Neurospora crassa OR74A: one gene and its partners. The protein of the gene in region 3 purifies or fractionates together with the protein of the main gene of each other region. This does not show direct contact. Links are inferred from orthologs where the notes say so. Each region holds a gene or a part of one and is shown on either strand. Other genes may lie near its edges. The genes, in order: NCU06520, NCU07712 and NCU02511.

The links.
Region 1: the proteins of NCU02511 (region 3) and NCU06520 purify together in Saccharomyces cerevisiae (affinity purification with mass spectrometry; 3 studies listed by BioGRID, with this or other methods). This does not show direct contact. The link is inferred for Neurospora crassa OR74A from reciprocal best matches to the Saccharomyces cerevisiae genes NOP2 and DBP7.
Region 2: the proteins of NCU02511 (region 3) and NCU07712 purify together in Saccharomyces cerevisiae (affinity purification with mass spectrometry; 7 studies listed by BioGRID). This does not show direct contact. The link is inferred for Neurospora crassa OR74A from reciprocal best matches to the Saccharomyces cerevisiae genes NOP2 and DBP10.

What each region holds. Positions count from the first base shown.
Region 1 is NC_026504.1:1,508,843-1,512,590, forward strand, and holds the start of NCU06520 (ATP-dependent RNA helicase dbp-7), read left to right. Parts: upstream 1-1,488; 5' UTR 1,489-1,585; coding exon 1,586-3,748. Other genes in the region: NCU06519 (multidrug transporter), read left to right, coding at 1-436, 496-825. UniProt on the Saccharomyces cerevisiae protein: ATP-binding RNA helicase involved in the biogenesis of 60S ribosomal subunits and is required for the normal formation of 25S and 5.8S rRNAs.
Region 2 is NC_026504.1:2,109,859-2,113,606, forward strand, and holds the start of NCU07712 (ATP-dependent RNA helicase dbp-10), read left to right. Parts: upstream 1-1,336; 5' UTR 1,337-1,450; coding exon 1,451-1,763; intron 1,764-1,829; coding exon 1,830-3,748. Other genes in the region: NCU07713 (DnaJ domain-containing protein), read right to left, coding at 244-819, 903-1,016. UniProt on the Saccharomyces cerevisiae protein: ATP-binding RNA helicase involved in the biogenesis of 60S ribosomal subunits and is required for the normal formation of 25S and 5.8S rRNAs.
Region 3 is NC_026501.1:2,564,254-2,568,001, forward strand, and holds the start of NCU02511 (S-adenosylmethionine-dependent methyltransferase superfamily domain-containing protein), read left to right. Parts: upstream 1-1,431; 5' UTR 1,432-1,845; coding exon 1,846-2,737; intron 2,738-2,807; coding exon 2,808-2,844; intron 2,845-2,917; coding exon 2,918-3,106; intron 3,107-3,175; coding exon 3,176-3,691; intron 3,692-3,748. Other genes in the region: NCU02510 (clathrin heavy chain), read right to left, coding at 1-445, 536-625. UniProt on the Saccharomyces cerevisiae protein: S-adenosyl-L-methionine-dependent methyltransferase that specifically methylates the C(5) position of cytosine 2870 (m5C2870) in 25S rRNA. Required for 60S ribosomal subunit synthesis and processing.

The DNA of each region.
Region 1 (3,748 bases), on a different chromosome or scaffold from region 3:
AAAGTGGGGCCGTCCCTTTCGGATGTTTGTTACGGAGCCGATCGTCCTCACTCTCTCACTACTGTCAGGATTCTCTGATGCCCTCATCTTTATGCAGATCCAGTCCTTTGTTCTGGTCTACAATCAATGGGGATTTTCCAAGATCCAACTTGGCCTTGCTTTCGTCCCAATTGGCTTAGGGTACCTGATCGCCTGGCTGTCCTTCTTACCAGTCTTTAAGCGCAACAAGAGGGCGCGCGATCTGAAACCGCATAGCGAGCATGCGCAGTATGAATCTCGGCTATGGTGGCTTCTCTGGACTGCGCCATGCTTGCCCATAGGTTTGATCATTTTTGCATGGACGTGCAGTGGACCGCCCATACATTGGATTGGGACCATGGTCGGGTCTACCATGATTGGCATTGCAAACTACTCCATCTATATGGCCACCATAGACGTAAGCTTAGGTTCTACCTCATTGACTGACAAAAGACATGCTAACCAAATACTCAACAGTATATGATCTGCGCTTACGGTCCCTACTCAGCTTCTGCTACCGGAGGTAACGGCTGGGCTCGCGACTTCCTTGCTGGTGTTCTAACGGTGCCGGCCACGCCCTTCGTCAGCAACATTGGCGGGACGAGGCACTTGGAAATCGCAAACACCATTCTATTCGCTATATCCCTTCTTCTTGTTGCGGCTATCTACATAACGTATATCTACGGACCAACTCTCCGTAAGAAGTCCAAATACGCGCAAAAGCTGGCCAAAAATACCACCCTAGATGAGTTCGGACGCTCGCGGCCTCCTTCCCAAATCTCCGATCGGGACCAGCTCTGTCTCTGACGAGATACATAGAGATCTTGTAGAAGACTCCTTCTGATTTCGAGTGTGACACGCGTATCTTTTAACTATACGGGGTATGTTCTTGGCTTGACCTTCGTCATTGACTCAATGCGTTCTGAACGTCGAGACCAGGGATTCGCCTGTGATGGGACGACTCTGGATTCTTACCAAAGCCGCTTACTGAACCTTCTGGTGGGAAATTCTCGGACTCTGGAAAATTGGGTGCTATTACAGGACGATGAAATATCTTAGCAAGGATATGTTACCACATGCGTACATGTTTTGCGAATATTTCGAGCAGCAATTCCTGACAACGTTGGCAGTTCACGGTGGCTTTTTGTCGAATTACCAGTACCCATGTATTATTAGCAACATTTGATAAGCAGCTATCACGAGCCTTGTAGCCATATCGACATGATCATTTCCAAGACACATGCAATGGTGGTGTTTTGTGTTTTATGTTGAAGGCGCATGGTGATTGTTATGATACAGATACAGTGCGAGTCGACACGGCTCACTTACACAGCAGGCGAGAGCCCCACTTTGATCTGGCCAAGGACCCAATTCCACTTTCAGTGCAACGGCCCCGAGTGCCAGTCCACTGAGAGCCACTGTGTTGCGGGGATCGACATGGACGTTGAACTTTTTTCTTGCCAATACCCAGAATATTGTCTTCCAGTCCCTTGAAACTCCCCATTTCCAATTGATTTTTGCCAGCACCACCACACCTCGAGGTCTTTTTGCAGTGAAATCATTCAAAATGGCGGACGACGGTGACATGTTCCTCAACTTTGAGATCGGAGATGCTCCGATCAAGCAGACGGTCAAGTACACAGGTGGCCGGTGGAGGGACAGAGTCAAGGCGCAAAAGGGCGAGAAGGGTGGACAGGATCAGTCAAAACAGGCCTCGACAGCTCGACGAGATACCGGCGCCGACTACTACACGAACAGAGCCGCGAAACGTCAACGGACAGAAGATGGCGACTCTGGCAGATTCTCCAAGACCCCACGAACAGGCAATGCCGCCGAGAGAGGTCCGCCGCCGCCGCCGACACATGCCATGAAGACTGGCCTCGTATCGTCGCGACTGTTTACTTCGAATCCCGTTCCCGTAACCGACTTCGAGGAGCTTCCCCAAGCCGAAGAAGCCGAGCCTGCACAACCTTCGAACGCTCCCCTCAGTGCCGAAGCAGAGAACTTCCTCTCGTTGGGTCTCTCCCGACGTGTATCCCAGCACCTGGCGACGAAGCTCGAGATGAAGGCCCCGACCGCCATCCAGAAGAACACGATACCACAACTAGTCAAGGAGGATAGCGATGCCTTCCTCCAAGCCGAGACGGGTTCCGGAAAGACGCTAGCATACCTTCTCCCCATTGTCCACAGGATATTGGCCCTCAGTCACAACGAGGACGGTACCCCAAAGACCACCAAAGTGCACCGCAACTCGGGACTCTTTGCTATCATTCTTGCTCCTACCCGCGAACTCTGCAAGCAAATTGCCGTTGTCCTCGAAAAGGTGCTGCGCTGTGCTCCTTGGCTAGTCTGCACCACGGTAATAGGTGGTGAAAGCAAAAAGTCAGAGAAGGCGCGCATCAGAAAGGGTGTCAACATCCTAATCGCTACTCCCGGTCGCTTGACAGATCATCTCGACAACACAAAGGTTCTCGACGTTGGTACGGTCCGCTGGTTGGTACTCGATGAAGGTGATCGCATGATGGAAATGGGTTTCGAGGACGATATCAAGACTATTGTTGGCAAGATCAGGGCTGGTACACTACAGAAGAAGAACGCCGAGGGTGTGGTTTTGGACGGCGTTCTCCCTTCGAGGAGAGTCACGGTTCTTTGCTCGGCTACAATGAAAATGAACGTCCAGAAGCTGGGTGAGATCAGTTTGGAGGATGCTGTCCACATCACAGCGTCCAAGAGCGATATGGAGAAGGATGCGGAGACTGGTGCTGTTGAGACGGCATTCTCCGCGCCCGCCCAGCTAAAGCAGGCCGCTATCGTCACACCCGCCAAGTTGCGCCTGGTGACGCTTATTGCCTTGCTCAAGTCAACTTTTGCCAGGAAGGGCTCGGTCATGAAGGCTATCATCTTCATCTCGTGTGCTGACTCGGTTGACTATCACTTTGAGCTTCTCAAGTCTACCACACCGCGTGCTGAGCCCGAGCCCAAGCCTGAAGGCGAAGCTCCCACCAAGCCGAACATCCACATCGAGTCGACCGTCGCGCCAGCAACATACATTACCTCCCCAGCCAACCCTACGGTGATGCTACACAAGCTCCACGGTTCGCTCGCCCAGCCCGTCCGTAGCGCCACCCTCAAGGCCTTCAGCGAATGCAAGGACCCCGCCGTGCTCATCACCACCGATATCTCCTCCCGTGGTCTCGATGTCCCGGCCGTCGAACTTGTCATCGAGTACGACCCGGCCTTCGCCGTGCCTGACCACGTCCACCGTATCGGTCGTACCGCCCGTGCCGGTCGCGCCGGTAAAGCCGTGCTCTTCCTCCTCCCCGGGTCCGAAGAAGGCTACATTTCCATCCTGCCCAAATCGACCCCCATCGCACCCCAGCTGTACGATTCCATCCTCCAAAAGGGCTTCGCCACAAACATCAACGTGCCTGGCACCGAGTCCGGAGTCCTCGAAACCGATCGTCAATCTTGGGCCTCCCGCGCCGAAGCTCTTCAACTACACTTCGAACAGCGTCTCCTCGCTCCTCTGCCCGGCGCCACGCCCGTCTTTGAATCCAAAAGCGAGAAATTTGCCGCCTCCAAGCAGGGCAAGAAGGGCAAGAAGGACGCCAAGAAGGATGAGAACAAAACACCTGACAACCCTCTCCTCGTCTCCGCCCGCCAAGCCTTCCGCTCGCACATTCGTGCGTACGCCACGCACGTTCGCGAGGAGCGCGTCTACTTTGACATT
Region 2 (3,748 bases), on a different chromosome or scaffold from region 3:
CTCGGACTTACATGATTCTCTGATGTGTATATGTATAAGCACCTTGTCCCATAAAACAGCGACCAAGTCGCGACCCAAAGCTTTGCGTGTAAACACCCCCATTCCTCTAAACCCAAGAAAAATGGCTTCCTTCGATTCGTTGTAAGCTCCGCTACTGCATCGTTGATGAACACATCTTGCAATTGCCGTAGTTGAATATTGCTGCGCATGCTCATATGAAAGAGCATTGCAGGTTCTTCTTGCTCAGCCAATAGGCTTCAACTTCTTTTTCTTTTTCTTATCCGAATCCCCAGACTTGCCCTTTTGAAACGCGCGCCAACTATCGATGCGCTGGTCTCTCGTCTTTTCCCAGTCCTCTTCGTGCTGCCTCTTGCGCTTGCGCTGCTCAGCCTCCTCGTCAGCTTTCCGCTGCTCGCGGCCTTCCTCCTGCATCTGCGCCTTGAGCTGTCTGCGTCGTCGCTGCTCGTTCTCGATCAGCACAAACTTGGTCTTTTCCTGCCACTTCTTTTCAAACTCGGCCGTCTTGAGCTCAGGGCTGTCGACCGTCCATTTGTTCTCGCGGATCAGCAGCATGCGCGCGTCCGCGATAGCTTCGTCTAGGTTCTTGCGGTGCTTCTCCTCCATTAGCTCCGTTTGCGCCTTCTTCAGTCTATCGAACGCCTCAGGCGCCAAGGGGTTTTTGGTCTTGTCGGGATGGATCAGCAGGGACTTTTTGCGGTAAGCAATCTTGATGTCGGATTCGGTCACGCCGGGCTTGAGGCCGAGGACTGAGTAGGCGTCGAGCCGGAAGGCTTTCAAGATACGGTCGATCTCGGCATCCTGTCGGAATTTAGATTGTCAGCAACTACTGAGTTGGGGATGTAAATGTTGGTATAGTTGGGCGTGGTTGTTGTCTGGCTTGCCTTCTCCCACTCCTTGGCTTCAGATTCCAGCACTTCAAGCGCATCCCGAGTGTCGGCAGGAGTTTCGTCTTTGACGTCTTTAACGTCCTTCACGTCCTTAGTGTCTGTCGCCATATTGTCGCCGGAATGGAGGGTCAATCTGGATGCTTGTTTGATCAATTACAAAGGGTTGATGGATAAGTAAGTTCGGTCTACCAAACGGAACGCAACTCCGGGGAAGTTTAGGGAAGTTCAGTAGTTGCGACTTGCGACACCTCCAGGAGCGCGGAAAGCACAGCTAACGCACGCCAGCGCTGCCAAGGCAAACCCACGGGCATGCAATGGGTGTACTTGATAAGCTGATAATGGATAAATGTCACATTGGCCCCACTAAAAAGTCGACCATCCAAAATTTACGGGTGACGGGCAGGCATTGATGGCTACAGTAGACAAGAGACCCCAAGACCCCATCATCATCACCAACCTAAACTCCAACCCACCCCGTCCGTCTTTGCATCTTCAATTAGCGATTCGTGCTGCAATTGGCAGCAACACAACCCTCGCTCACCATGCCTAGACGCGCAGCGTCCCCCACACCGTCCGAGAACGAGGTTGACATCGCGGGTGCTTTGTTCAACAACGACAGCGACTTCGAAGACAACAGCAGCAAGCACCACACCAAGAAGGGAGCTGTTACGAACAGCGGGCTTGACCTCGATTTCAACGATCTTCTCGGTAACGGCGATGATGGACTACCTAGCTTTAATGGCGAGGGCGATGATGACGAAGCCTTTATCGCTTCGCTCACACGGAGCTCGCAGAGAAAGTCCTCCAACATTCAGGGCAAATCAGTCAAGAAGGGTGGAGGTTTCCAGGCAATGGGTGCGTAGTCTTCCGTCCCATGGCATAAGTTGATGATGCTTGGGGCAGCTGCTGATACTCTCCTAGGTCTAAACGCCCATCTCCTCCGAGCGATTACCAGAAAAGGCTTCTCCGTCCCGACCCCCATTCAGCGCAAAGCGATCCCCCTGATTTTAGAAAGAAAAGATGTGGTCGGCATGGCCAGAACCGGTTCCGGAAAGACTGCAGCTTTCGTTATCCCCATGATTGAGAGGTTGAAGGGGCACAGTCCACGTGTTGGCTCGAGGGCGCTCATCATGTCTCCCTCGCGTGAACTTGCGTTGCAGACCCTCAAGGTCGTCAAGGAACTCGGCAGAGGTACCGATCTAAAGACCGTATTGCTCGTCGGTGGTGACAGCCTAGAAGAACAGTTTGGTATGATGGCGTCGAATCCCGATATTATCATCGCCACACCCGGTCGTTTCCTCCATCTCAAGGTTGAAATGAACCTCTCTTTGGCCTCCATCAAATACGTTGTCTTCGATGAAGCTGATCGCCTCTTCGAAATGGGTTTCGCTACTGAGTTGACCGAAATTCTTCACGCCCTCCCTCCTTCCAGACAGACGCTTCTTTTCTCTGCGACGCTCCCATCGTCCTTGGTCGAATTCGCCAGAGCCGGTCTTCAAGAGCCAAGCCTTGTCAGGTTGGATGCCGAAACCAAGGTGTCACCCGACCTCGAGAGTGCTTTCTTCGCAGTAAAGGGAGGTGAGAAGGAGGGTGCCCTTCTCCATCTTCTCCACGACGTCATCAAGGTCCCGCTGGGTCCGCCCGAGGGCACAAAGGAAGAGAGTGACGAATTGCAGGCGAGGAAAAGGAAACGCGAGTACAGGCCCAATCCTAAGGAGAAGCCGACGGAATACTCGACCATCATCTTCACAGCAACGAAACATCACGTCGAGTACATTGCGAACCTGTTGAAACTCGCAGGCTTTGCCGTGTCCTACGTTTACGGTTCGCTTGACCAGACGGCCCGTTTGATCCAAGTTGACAACTTCCGTCGGGGAAGAACACATATTCTCGTGGTTACCGATGTCGCCGCCCGTGGTATTGATATGCCTGCTCTCGCCAACGTCATCAACTACGATTTCCCATCTCAGCCCAAGATCTTTGTCCATCGTGTTGGTCGTACAGCTCGTGCGGGTCAGCGTGGTTGGGCCTATGGTTTGGTCCGTCAGTCAGACGTACCATATCTACTTGATCTACAGCTCTTCCTGGGAAGGAAACTTATTATCGGCCACGATCAGAAGAACCCTTCCTTCGCGGCAGACGTCGTAGTTGGAACACTAAAGAGAGATGGAGTGGATGTTAACATTGAGTGGGTTGAGAAGGCGCTCAAGGAGAGTGCCGATCTCAAGGCGCTGAAGGGTGTTGCCGCAAAGGCCGAGAAGCTCTACATGAAGACGAGGAATTCTGCGTCGAGCCAGAGCGCAAAGAGAGCCCGCGAAGTTACGCAGTCCAGGGGCTGGACACAGCTCCATCCTTTGTTTGGAGAAGAAGCCGCTGAAGCCCAGGCAGCTCGCGATGATCTTCTCAGCAGGATAAACCGCTTCAAGCCCCAGGAAACCATCTTTGAACTTGGCCCTAAGGGCAAGTCTAGCCGCAATAAGGCCGCGGAAGTTGTACGAAACATGCGTTCCAGATTCAAGGAGCGCAAGACTACCAACGACGAGGATGATGAGGACGTGGACATGGAAGATGCCGAGGGTAAACCTGACGGCGAGGAGACCAATGCGTTCGAAGACTTTGAGGATGAGGAAGAGGAGGGAGAGGCGGAAGAGGCAGAAGAGGCGGAAGCCAAGGAAGACCCATACGCCGACGACTCGGATTCGGAGATGGAGGTTACAGTATCCAGCAGCATGCATACGAAGAAGAAGGGTGGCCCGGTCAACTTCCAAGACCCCGAGATCTTCATGTCCTACACGCCTCGCACCACTAGCCTTGCGGAGGAGAAGGCTTACGGTGTTCAC
Region 3 (3,748 bases):
GCTGTTGTGAGATACCGACAACAACCATCCACTTTCCGTCGGCGCTGGTCCGATAATTAATTATTTGGTTGCCCTGGAGATTAGCATTACGATCGAAGACCTTGACCGGAGCGGGCTGGTTCGGGTCGAAGACATCCCAATGGTAAACAGAGCCATCTGTGATCAAGCCAAGCGTGGTCTCGCTAACCCACTTCCAGAACAAGACATCCTCGCTCATGTTTGTCGACTTGAGCTTGGCCTTGTTTTCGAGGTCGAAAATCTGGAGTGTGCGCGCCTGGGCCTTGAGGGCAATTACTTGGCGCGTCCAGTGCATTATGGCACTGTCGGCCTTGATGGGACGTCGGATAACATTATTGCCGTTCTTGAGATCGACGATGATGACTTCAGGGGACGCTGCCTCGTCCTTCTTGTCGCGAATACACACCCAGTTGTCCGATTCTAGAGTCTGGGAGCGGGGGGTTCACGTCAGCAGGGGTGCCAGAGGAGGCGCGACAACTGTCACTAGCAGAGTCAGAGCAAGGTGAGGACAACGTACACAGGTATTGAAAGTGATGGCAGTCTGGTTGATGCCGAGGGCGCTGAGTTGCAGCAGCTCCTGGAATTTGATGGGTAGGGCCTGAGCCATGATGGGCGGTGGTGTTGCGCTAAGCTGCGCGCAGAGTGACGAAGATTAGCAGCCAACTTATCAAAAGCGGCTGGAAGGTGAATCCGCTGGGAAGTAGAAAGATTGGGGAAATGGAGGCTCGTGAAGCTCCGTGGACTGAATGGAATGGCGGCGACGTGAAAGGAGGCGGTGGTGGTGGTGGTTGGTTGTACTTTGGGGGGAAAATGACCGAGCTCCCGAGAAATGGGGAGGGGGAAAGAGGACGGATGAATCAGGTAGGTAGAGGTAGGTAGGAGGTTGGAGGTGGAAGGATTAACGCAAGGTCCAGAAGGCAGGTACGCAGTAAAACCCGCCGCCAAACTGTGGGTGAGAGGTGAGTCGCGATTTGCCGCTCAGTTACAGATACGTAAAGTAAAGGCGAGCAGGTACCTCGATGTCACCTCACTTCAATGCTCCAGCAGAAAGAATAGAGAAGAATCGCGGTTGTTGAAGGATGCAAAGCAGCAAGAGGAGACGTCGTTTGTTACGGGAAGTTAGTACCGTGAGAGATGAAAGATACAGCAGGAAAGATGGAAGGTGCTGAGGTGAGATGCCTCTCCAGCTGTCCAGTGTGTTTGTACATGCCGCAACTGTTCAGCGCAGACGGAAGGTACCTCTAGTACCTCTCAGGTTACCTGCCTGCTTTTGAGTGATGTGTTAACACGGGACCTCGCGGCCGGGGCGTCCACCGCCCACCGGCGCCGGCTCCATTCAGTGCTTCCCCCTGCGTCGGGTGCGCCTAGACCAGGCGGCAGGCGCCTGCCCGGGAGGCCTGCCTGCCCCCTTCGCTTCAAGCTGTCCGCCCGGTCCAGGTTGCCCGCCCTCATCCCGTCATCCTTCTACTTTCCTTTGCCCGCATTGATCGCCTCTCCTGCGAGGTCCGTCAGACGGTCCTTCCATTTCCTACCTCTAGGTACCTTATACCTCCAGGCCGCCTGCCTCCGGGGGCGCCGTTCATGCCGGGCTCCAGGGGCAGCTGTTCCCTACTCCAGAACAGCCCAGCTCCAGGGGTAGCGTCAGCTGTTGCTACAGGGATTCCGAACTTGGCCCAGCTTGACTAATGTGGGGCACTGACCAATGGCTCACCTTTTGGGACCGCAGTGAGGTGGAACCCGATTTGAGGAAAGAGACTTGGCATTGCTATCGATAAGCTTTTTCAGAAAAGAAAATCGACCCGGAGAAATATCCACAAGCGCCTGTCGATGGTGGGCTATCAGTGTTCAAACCAACCCCAACAACATCCCAATCACCACCAGACGACCAGCAATACCATCAAAATGGGTGTCGGACGTCGCATGCAGAAACAGGGCCCTCCTGAGCCCCTCTCGGAGGAGCACTTCGCCAACCTCAAGCGCAAGAAGGGCATTCCCTTTGACGAAACCACGACCGAAGTCGACACTAGAAGATCCAAGAAGCAGAAGATTGTCAAGAAGCAGCCCAAGACATCCGGCTCCAACACTGTCGCAGTCAAGGGCGCCAAGAAAGAGGTCAAGGAGGTGAAGAAGACTGGCACAAAGCCCGCCCACAGGTCCAAGGAGTCCAAGAAGCCTAAGAAGGCAAAGCAGCCTTCGCCCGATCATGACGAGGAGATGGACGACGAGTTTGGCGCGTCCGACCTGGAGGGCCTTGATATCGACGGCGATGAGATGGACGTTCAAAAGCTAGGAGACGATTTCCTCGGCACTGACGACGACTCGGTTTACGATTCCGACCAGGACGGTGCTACCAAGAAGGAGGCATTCGTCTTCTCTGACGATGAGGATGACGAAGAGGATAGAGAGGAGAAGCTCACAGCCGCCAACATCGAGGGTCTTTCGAGGAAATTGGATATGCAAAGAGAGAAGGAAGCAGAGGAGAACGAGGCCGAATTGCGCGACGAGGCGCTCCAGACCAACATCGCTGGTGGTGATGACCTCGGTGATGACGACGACCAACTTCAGACTAAGACCAAAACTTTGCTGGCACCCGATCTCCAGATGTTGAGAACGAGGATAACAGACGCCATCCGTATCCTGGACGACTTTTCGAATTCGGCGGAAGAGGGCAAGAGTCGCGCCGAGTACACCAGCCAACTCATCAAGGATATCTGTGCCTGTAAGGACCCGATGTTCCTTGCGCAATACTTCTCGTGAAATGCACAAATGTTAACTTCAGGTTTTGCCAGACTACGGTTACAACGAGTACCTCGCTGAAAAGCTTTTGTATGTTTTACAACCTGTCGCATGCCTGTCTGCGGCGATACCACCAGTGGGGAAACTGTCTGACTGTTTGTAGCAACCTGTTCCCTCCCAGAGAGGCGTTCGCCTTTTTCGAAGCCAACGAGAGTGCCCGCCCCGTCGTTATCCGTACAAACACCCTCCGAACACATCGCCGCGATCTTGCCCAAGCACTCATCAACCGCGGTGTCACACTCGAGCCTGTAGGCAAGTGGTCCAAGGTCGGTCTGCAAGTCTTTGACTCGAAGTACGTATATTCTAAATCAGGACTACAACGACGCGATTCATGCAAATGGCTAACAACTGGGGCATAAAGCGTTCCCCTCGGTGCCACGCCTGAGTATCTGGCTGGTCACTACATCCTCCAGGCCGCGTCTTCGTTCCTGCCCGTGATGGCTCTCTGCCCCCAGGAGGGTGAGCGTGTTCTCGATATGGCCTCTGCCCCCGGTGGCAAGACCACCCATATGGCGGCGTTGATGAAGAACACCGGTGTGATCTTTGCGAACGATCCCAGCAAGCAGCGTGCCAAAGGTTTGATCGGCAACATTCACAGACTGGGCGCAAGAAACGTTATCGTATGCAACTACGATGCGCGTGAGTTCCCCAGGGTCATGGGTGGCTTTGACAGAGTCTTGCTCGATGCCCCATGCTCGGGCACTGGTGTCATTGCCAAGGATCCCTCTGTTAAGACCAACAGAGACGAGAAGGACTTCCTGCAGCTCCCCCATCTCCAAAAGCAGCTTCTCCTGGCTGCCATCGACTCGGTTGACCATGCCAGCAAGACTGGTGGTTACGTTGTCTATTCGACGTGTTCCGTTGCCGTTGAGGAAAAGTGCGTTTTCCATATCGTTCTTAACTGTACTTTCAGAAGACGCTAACCCAAGATTAC